2 linked regions of the Oryctolagus cuniculus genome follow. The protein of the gene in region 1 purifies or fractionates together with the protein of each later gene. This does not show direct contact. Links are inferred from orthologs where the notes say so. Each region holds a gene or a part of one and is shown on either strand. Other genes may lie near its edges.

What was found.
Region 2: the proteins of NAP1L4 (region 1) and NCL fractionate together in Homo sapiens (co-fractionation; 3 studies listed by BioGRID). This does not show direct contact. The link is inferred for Oryctolagus cuniculus from reciprocal best matches to the Homo sapiens genes NAP1L4 and NCL.

What each region holds. Positions count from the first base shown.
Region 1 is NC_091432.1:792,193-795,990, forward strand, and holds part of NAP1L4 (nucleosome assembly protein 1-like 4), read left to right. Parts: intron 1-2,862; coding exon 2,863-2,885; intron 2,886-3,318; coding exon 3,319-3,438; intron 3,439-3,798. UniProt on the Homo sapiens protein: Acts as a histone chaperone in nucleosome assembly.
Region 2 is NC_091434.1:7,816,677-7,821,269, forward strand, and holds the start of NCL (nucleolin), read left to right. Parts: upstream 1-1,778; 5' UTR 1,779-1,989; coding exon 1,990-2,007; intron 2,008-2,926; coding exon 2,927-3,043; intron 3,044-4,036; coding exon 4,037-4,541; intron 4,542-4,593. UniProt on the Homo sapiens protein: Nucleolin is the major nucleolar protein of growing eukaryotic cells. It is found associated with intranucleolar chromatin and pre-ribosomal particles. It induces chromatin decondensation by binding to histone H1.

The sequences.
Region 1 (3,798 bases):
CCTGGTGCACACGATCCGTGCCCAGAGAGGTTGTGTGGGGTCAGCAGGGGGCACGCCTCCCAGGCCTGCTGGGTCATCTTCGCCCTGTTCGTCTAGCTGCTGCTCAAACTTTAGTACTGGTGGTTCTCTGTGATTTGATTTTGAGCCTAGAAGATGCACAAATACTGGTTTGGGGCCAAGAATAGCCATAAGTTTGGGGAGATCTTTTGGAGTTGGCATTGAGCATATTGGCGGTTTACTGGCTTCACCAGCAGGTACACATGGGCTTTGGTGTGGTTTTTGTTTGTTTGAAAGACAAAGTGTCAGAAGCGTTAGAAGACAGAGAACACGAGATCTCCATCTGCCGGTTCCTCCTCAAGTGGCTGCAAAGCCAGAGCAGGGCCAGGCCCAAGCCAGGAGCCAGAAACTCCACCCTGCCTCCCACACGGGTGGCCCAGAACATTATCCAGGAGCTGGGTCAGAGGCGAGCAGCCGGCTTCAAGCTGGCACTCTGTGGGATGCCAGTGCCACACAAACGGGGGTCTACATTTTTTTTAAACATTTTAAGGCAGAGCTACAGAGGCAGAGGGAGACAGAGGTTGTCCATCCACTGGTTCACTCCCCAGATGGCCGCAACAGTCAGAGCTGTGTCGATTTGAAGCCAGGAGTTTCTTCTGGGTCTCCCACGTGGGTTCAGGGGCCCAAGGGCTTGGACCATCTTCCACTGCTTTTCCAGGCCACAGCAGGACTTGAACCGGTACATGTATGGGATTCCAGCACTGCATGTGGCGGCCTTACCAGCTACGCCACAGTGCTTGTGGCCTGAGAGAGCAATGAGAGATGGCCCAAGTTGTTGGCCCCTACACCCGCATGAGAGACCTGGAAGAGGCTCCAGGCTCCTGGCAGCAGATAGGCACAACTCCAGCTGTTGTAGCCATCTGGGAGTGAACCAGCGGGTGGAGGACCTTCTCTGTCTCTCTCTCTGCCTCTGCCTGTATAATTCTGCCTTTCAAATAAATAAAAGTAGGAGGCAGGGCCCCTGGGAGCTGGCTCGGAAGTGGCGCACCCACGAGTTGAACCAGCTCTCGTATGGGATCTGGCATCACAGGTGGTAGCTCAGCCTGCTGTTGGCACAACAGTGGCCCTGGTAGCTTTGACTTTTATATAATTTTTAGGATAAAAATATATAATTAGTAATGAATGTGAGAATTGGAGGGATGATATCTGGTGTTCTAAAACTCTGTTGGTGGGGCCGGCGCTGTGGCGTAGCAGGTAAAGCCGCCATCTGAACCAGCAGATGAAAGACCTCTCTCTCCCTCTCTCTCTCTCTCCCTCCCTCTCCCCCCCTCCCCCCTCCCTCTCTCTCCCCCCTCCCCTTCTCCCTCTCCCTCTCTCCCTCTACCTGTGTAACTCTGCCTTTCAAATAAATAAGTAAATCTTAAAACAAACAAACAAACTTTGTTGGTGTTGGTTACATAGCTCTCTCTCTCTCTTTTTTTTTTTTTTTTTTTTTTTTTTGACAGAGTGGACAGTGAGAGAGAGAGAGACAGAGAGAAAGGTCTTCCTTTTGCTGTTGGTTCACCCTCCAATGGCTGCCGCGGCCGGTGCACCTCGCTGATCTGAAGGCAGGAGCCAGGTGCTTCTCCTGGTCTCCCATGGGGTGCAGGACCCAAGCACTTGGGCCATCCTCCACTGCACTCCCTGGCCACAGCAGAGAGCTGGCCTGGAAGAGGGGCAACCGGGACTAGAACCCGGTGTGCCGTCGCCGCTAGGTGGAGGATTAACCTATTGAGCCGCGGCGCCGGCCATACATAGCTCTTAAGTATTATTCTTAGTCATTAAATTACACATTTCTGTGATATGTAGATTATGCTTCAGTAGAAATATACTTTTTCTTTTTTTTTTTTTTTAAAGATTTGTTTTATTTGTTACACAGTTACAGAGAGAGGTAGAAACAGAGAGAGAGGTCTTCCATCCGCTGGTTCACTCCCCAGATGGCCGCAATGGCCGGAGCTGCGTCAACCAGAAGCCAGGAGCCAGGAGCTCCTTCTTGGGTGCAGGGGCTCGAGGACTTGGGCCATCTTCTACTGCCTTCCCAGACCACAACAGGGAGCTGGATCGGAAGTGGAGCAGCCAGGACTCGAACCGGCGCCCATATGGGATGGCGGTGCTTCAGGCCAGGGCCTTAACCTGCTGCGCCGCAGCACCGGCCCCAAAAGATAGTTTTTCCAGTTAGTAAGTGATGTGATGTTGGGCAGTCACTGCTGTGGACTAGAGTGGAGGCTGAGTCCTGGGCTGGTCGAGAACCACCAGGACCCTGGGCCAGAGCACCCCACGCAGAGGGCTCCCCCGAGCGCTGTCTTAGGTGCTGCCCTGCGCCTCGAGGGTGCTGTGCATACAGCCAGCATTCCCGGCCGTGTGGGGAAAGCGGTGAGAGCTGAGAGGTGTGTCCACAGGCAGGGCTTGGGATCCTAACTCTTCCTACACGTGCCGGAGCCGGGGCGTGTGGTGGGCGTGGGGAGCTTTGGCCCCTGTGCCCGTCTCCCTCACACACGAGACAGGAGAGTGGCAGCAGCGTGCAGGGCACCTGGCCCCAGGCTCTGTGGGTGCGTTCAGGTGAGCAGCGTGTGGCCTCCGGGTTCCTCCTGAGCACAGAGCAGAGTGGCTGCAGCCTGGGCTTGGGACCGCCTCCTTCCTGAGTGCCCCCCCAAACGTCACTTCTCAGGCGGCCAGCAGGCGGTCAGGGGGCAGGGAACGGCGTGGAGGCCCTGGGCCAGCTTCCGCGTGAAGTGGCGGCTGGGAGTTGGGGCCCGGGGCGTGTCCCAGCAAAGCCCTGCAGGGTTCTGGTTGTCCTGTAATGTGGATGTGTTCTGTCTTTTCTAGCATCCGGGGATGGAGAATCACTGGTAAGTTTGAACCTTGCTTTTCCTGGTACAGTTTGTTTTCTGAGTGAGTATTCACTGCGTTGTGATCCACTGCCACCTCCTGGAGACCCTCGGCTTCATTAGAAATCCTCTCCCTTGGGGCTGGAGTTGATGGGAAACGGGACTGAAAAGCAGGTTCCGTATGTAAAGTAGTCAGCAGCATGGAAGTCCTAGCATAGTTTCTCCATGACACTGACTTTGCACAGCTGTGTGAAGGGCCCTTGGAGTCCGTGTGGCTCCAGCCGTGCGAGTCTTAGCTCCCGTGTGTCCCACGTGGCTGAGACCCTGGCTCCCGTGGGTGAAGCGCCTGAGCAGCCACGAGCCGCCCCTCAGCAGGGTGCCGGCTGCTGTCGGGTGCAGGGAGGGCGAGGGAGGCGTCCGCTCAGGTGAGCCGCCGTGGCCTTCCCTCCCTCAGGACGAAGACTCGGAGTTCACGTTAGCGTCTGACTTCGAGATCGGACACTTCTTCCGCGAGCGGATAGTGCCGCGGGCTGTGCTCTACTTCACGGGGGAGGCCATCGAGGACGACGACAACGTATGTGGCTGGGCTCGCCCTGGGGGAGCTGGGAGGGGCGGCCCCGGGCGGCCCTGTCTGTGACTCACCTGCTAGGGGCCTGCGGTGTCCGGTGTCCGGAGCCAGGAGCGGAGCGGCCTGCCGGCTTCAGGGCCTGTGGGTGTGAGCACACCCTGCTGCTGCGGGCCCGGCCCGGCCAGTGTCCCCGGCTCCCTGTGCTCCGGCCATGCCCTGAGCTGCATTGCATGTAGCTGGGCTGCCCTGAGCCCCGCTGGCTGTGTGTGGGTTCTCTTGCTTGTAGAGTCACGTTTTGAGGGGAGAACTGTTTCCAAGTGGGGTGGCAGAGGCGTGAGTGGGTGCCGTGGCCTGTACCCTGGTCAG
Region 2 (4,593 bases), on another chromosome or scaffold:
AGGCAGCGCAATGAGCTCCCATTCACTGGGTGACGCTCCAAACGCACATAACAGCTGGCGTTGGGCTGGGTCAAAGCCGGGCACTCAATCCAGGTCTTCCCCATGTGCAGGAACCCAGGGTCTCGCGGCCAGAGCCAGAGGCTGGGACTAGCTCGCTCCTCTGATGTCGGACACAGGAAACCCACCCAGCTGGCTACACACCTGCTTCTTAAAATCCACCCGGTCCCCTGGTCATGCCCACCAGACATCTCTCCAGCCTCTTTCCACGAGTGCCTGAAGCCCGCTCTGCTTGGAAATCCACAGGGTCCTATCCCACCATGTCTCGGCTCATGCCGTTCCCTCTCCACCCCACCCCTGTCACCCAGATGGGATCCCCCGGCCCCCATTCCCTGCGCTTCGAAGCACGACCCCCTCAGAGCATCAGATAAAGGGGGCAGACCTCTCAACTGGTCTGAGCGCCCCAGTGAGTGGCCTGGGCTTCCTATCGCCGCAGGTGTGCTAGCAAGAACTAAAATAACTCGGCCGCCCCGAAGAATGCTCCTAGGCCTTTAGTGCAAAATCCCAGGTGGGCAGCTGGGGCGCCGCAGGCTGAGCTGCCGCGTGGGCCGGACCGAGTGCCTAGGATGTGGCACCACCTCCACTTCCGACCACATGGGAGACAGCAAGGGACGCTGGAGTCCCGGGGTCCCTGGCCCTCAGCTCCCGGGGAGGCCTGCATGGAGCCCCTGGCTTCGATCCGGCCCAGCCCTGGCTGTTTTGGGCATCTGGGCAGGTCTGCCACTCTGCCTCTCCAACAGAAACAGAGCGACCCCGGGCCCCCCCAGACCTCCTCAACTTTGAACCTTCAGAGGCGACTTTTATCAAAGGTTCTGCTGGGGCAGCTGGTTACCAGAAGCCTGGGGGGCATCCGAGGCCGGCTCCGGTTGGTTCGCTAAGCCTGGCGCCCATCTGAGCCGCCGCAGGAGCACACAACGCCAAGCCCACCTTCCGAGCCCCCGCCCGGGGCGCCGGGTCCACTGCTGGGCCACGTGTGCCGCTGCCCGCCCAGCCGCCACACTGACGGCAGAGGAAGCGCGGCGGGCGGCCCAGGTCCCGCTGCCCACCCCACCATGACCAAGCCCCTCGCGGGCGCGACCTCCAAGCTGCTGGACCGCGGGGACAAACACCTGCCGCGTGGTTACGGGGGACTAACCGAGCGCTTGTGCACGGCTCACAACTCTACCCGCAGCCCTCGGGAGGCACGTGGGCCGGAGGGCGCTCCAGCGGCCAGGGAGTCTGGGGCCCCTGGCTGGCCGGCGGGCCCCCGAAAGGGCCACTCGGAACTTGGCCGAACCTCAACTTCCGGCGCCCTCGGGCTGACCCGCAGGAAACCGCCGCGACCCCTCGCTCCAGAGCCGCAAGCAGGCTCAGCGAGGAGCGCGCACCGGCGCCCTCCCGCGCACACGTCTACCGGACCCGGCTACTTTCTGGAAACCGAGACCACCGCCCCGCGTTCGCTCAGTTCGCCGCGCCACTCGCTCGCTCGCCCCGCGCCAAAAGAGCCCGTCGCATGACGCATGCGCCGGGACGACCGGCCGCGGAGGAACACTCTGCGACCCGCGCACCCCCGGGCCAATCAGCGCCGGCCTTGCACAAAGCAAATCCCGCCTCCAGGACGCGGCCGCCAGACCCCCTTCCCCTCCTTGGCCGCCTGGGCCCGCCCACTCCGGCCCAATCCCCGCCCCACGCCGCGCACAGTTAGCGGCTTGCGATTGGCTCGCGCGACGGACGCGAGCTCTGATTGGTAGAGGAGGAGTCACGAGGGCGCCGTCGTCGCCTTTCCAGAGGCGATTACTGGGCAGGCTCAGTCTTTCGCCTCAGTCTCTAGCTCTCGCTGGCAGCCCGGCGTACGTGCTCCGGCATCTTCAGTCACCCGCGGCCGCCATCGACGCCGCTCGGGTTCCTCTAGGCTCGTCTGCGCCACAGCCGCCGCCGTCGTAAGCCGCCATCATGGTGAAGCTGGCCAAGGTAAGCGCTGAGGGCGCGCGAGCGCGAGCGCCGAGGCCTGCTGCTCAGGAGCGCGCGCGGCGTCGCGGGGAGGAGGGCCTGCGCGCCGTCCCGGGCGCGTTCGAGGGCGCCATGCTGTGGGAAGTCTCGCGCGACTGGCGGGCAGTTCTCGCGTGTCTTGGCTGCTTGGCGGCGAGGTGCGGCGCGCTCCGGCAGGTGCTGAGGGCGGCGTGGAAGGCTGCGGCGCGGGGCGCGGGGCGGCGGGAGGAAGTGAGATCCAACTCGTGCGCCGCGCGCGGGCCGGGCCCCGCCTCCGGCCGCACGTGCGCCGGCTCGCGGCCCGCCACGTGGGCCCCGCCGCGTGGGCCGCGGGGTGGCCGGGGCCCGCCGGCGCGAACCCGCGGCCCTGGCCCAGCTGCCCGGGGCCCCCCGGCCGCCGCCACGTGCGCCGGCCCCGGAAGGAGGCGCCGGGGTGCGTGCACATGGTGGCCGCCGGGCACCCCCACGTGGCCGCGGCCAGGTGAGAGGGGCAGGCCGGTTGGGGTCCGAGGTGGCTTTGTTACTTTTATGCTTTTGCGACGCTGGTGCTGCCCGGAGTTCCGACGAGGGCGCTGGTGGTGTGCGTCGGAGGCTGGGGGGGGTCCTCCCTGGAAGAGTGGCCGCTGGCTACTAAGAAGGGTGCCTGGTGCTAGGGTTGAACCCAGGGGTGAATTAAGTGGTTGAGGGTAAAAAAAGGCAGATGGGTTATTTCATCACCTTGGACTTGTTTTTTAGGTTTTGTCAAGATTGACAGGGAAACTCTGATGGGCCGTACTGTTGGTCAGTTTCAGGATCGGTTATGTTTAATGCTGAAAGTGCGTTGAGGAGGGTGATGGTTGTATTTTATTGTGGGCCGTGGAATCGATGAGGGGTGTTCATGTCCTCATTGTGTGCGTTTTAGGCTGGTAAAAACCAAGGTGAGCCCAAGAAAATGGCTCCTCCTCCCAAGGAGGTAGAAGAAGATAGTGAAGACGAGGAGATGTCGGAAGATGACGAGGATGACAGCAGTGGAGAAGAGGTAACTGGGTCGCGATCGAGGAGAAATTGGGTTGCACTTACACAGTGGACAGAATGGTGTTGGGTGTCTGAAAAGGATATGAAAAGTAGTGTGTTATTCACGTGACCCGGGGTGGGGGGTGCTTAGATGGCAGGAGACCGTTGGGTGAGTACCTGAGTGTGAGCATCTGGGATCTGTGCCCTCTGCACGGCTGGAGTGAGGTTGATACACTTCTCCTGCTCAGCATAAAGGACCAGGTGGATTCTGTCCCCCCCCTGTATGTAAGGTTTGTAGCGATTGGGTGGGTTGAAGGTGCCACCTGAGCATTCACGTTCATTGCTTGCATGGAAAGTCGGTTTTTTAGAATTCAGCAAAGACTTTACTCTTAAGTGAACTATCTGATAAACTAGGAAGTTAATGAAAATAGCTTTGAATAGGAGTTAAAATGTAGGTAAATAATGGTTCTTACAGATACAGTGTTTATTTGATGTGCTGTAATTTGTAAGGGTTGCTCAGCCAATTTAAGGCTGATTTTTATCTCAGGTCCTGTCTCAGGACAAGAATCCTGTACCACTACCCACTGTATGATCCCCAGATGATTTTTAATATTCAGATTTATTTATTTGCAAAGAGAGTTATAGAGAGGCAGAGTTCTCCCATCCACTGGTTCACTCCCCAAGTGGCTGCAACGTCCAGAGCTGGACCTATCCGAAGCCAGGATCTTCTGGGTCTTCACGTGGGTGCAGGGGCCCAAGCGCCTGGGCCATCTTCTGCTTTCCAGGCCACAGCGGAGAGCAGGATGGAAGTAGAGCAGCTGGGGCTTGAATTGGCTCCCATATGGGCTGCCGGCAGCAGTTTTATGTGCTACGCCACAGCACTTTACTTACTGTTGAACCTAACATGTTAACATGGAACATATGCAGTCTTGAACCAGAGGCAGTGCCAGAATCCACCACTGGGACCAGGGCTGCCTTTCGGATGTAGCAGAACTAACTGTTGGTGTTTGCTGTTTAGATAGTCATCCCACAGAAGAAAGGCAAGAAAGCTGCTGCGGCTCCAGCCAAGAAGGCGGTGGCTTCCCCGACAAAAAAGCCTGCGGCTGCCACTCCTGCCAAGAAAGCAGTTGTCACTCCAGGTAAAAAGGGAGCCGCCACCACGCCAGCGAAGAAGGCCGCTACCCCAGCCAAAGCGGTGGTGGCGTCGGGCAAGAAGGGGGCCGCGCTGGGCAAAGCAGTGGTAGCGGCCTCGGGAAAGAAGGGAGCGGTCCTCCCCGCCAAGGGGGCCAAGAATGGTAAGAACGCCAAGAAGGAAGACAGCGACGACGAGGAGGAGGAGGAGGACAGCGAGGAGGACGACGACGACGAGGATGAAGATGACGAGGAGGACGAGGAGGATGAGTTTGAGCCGGCGGTCATGAAGGCAGCAGCGGTGGCCCCCGCCTCCGAGGATGAGGACGAGGAGGACGAGGATGAAGACGACGATGAGGACGAGGACGACGACGAGGAGGACGAGGAAGACGGTAAGGAAGTCATGGTGGCTCCTGGCTCTGGGAGGTTTCCACGTAGCCACGT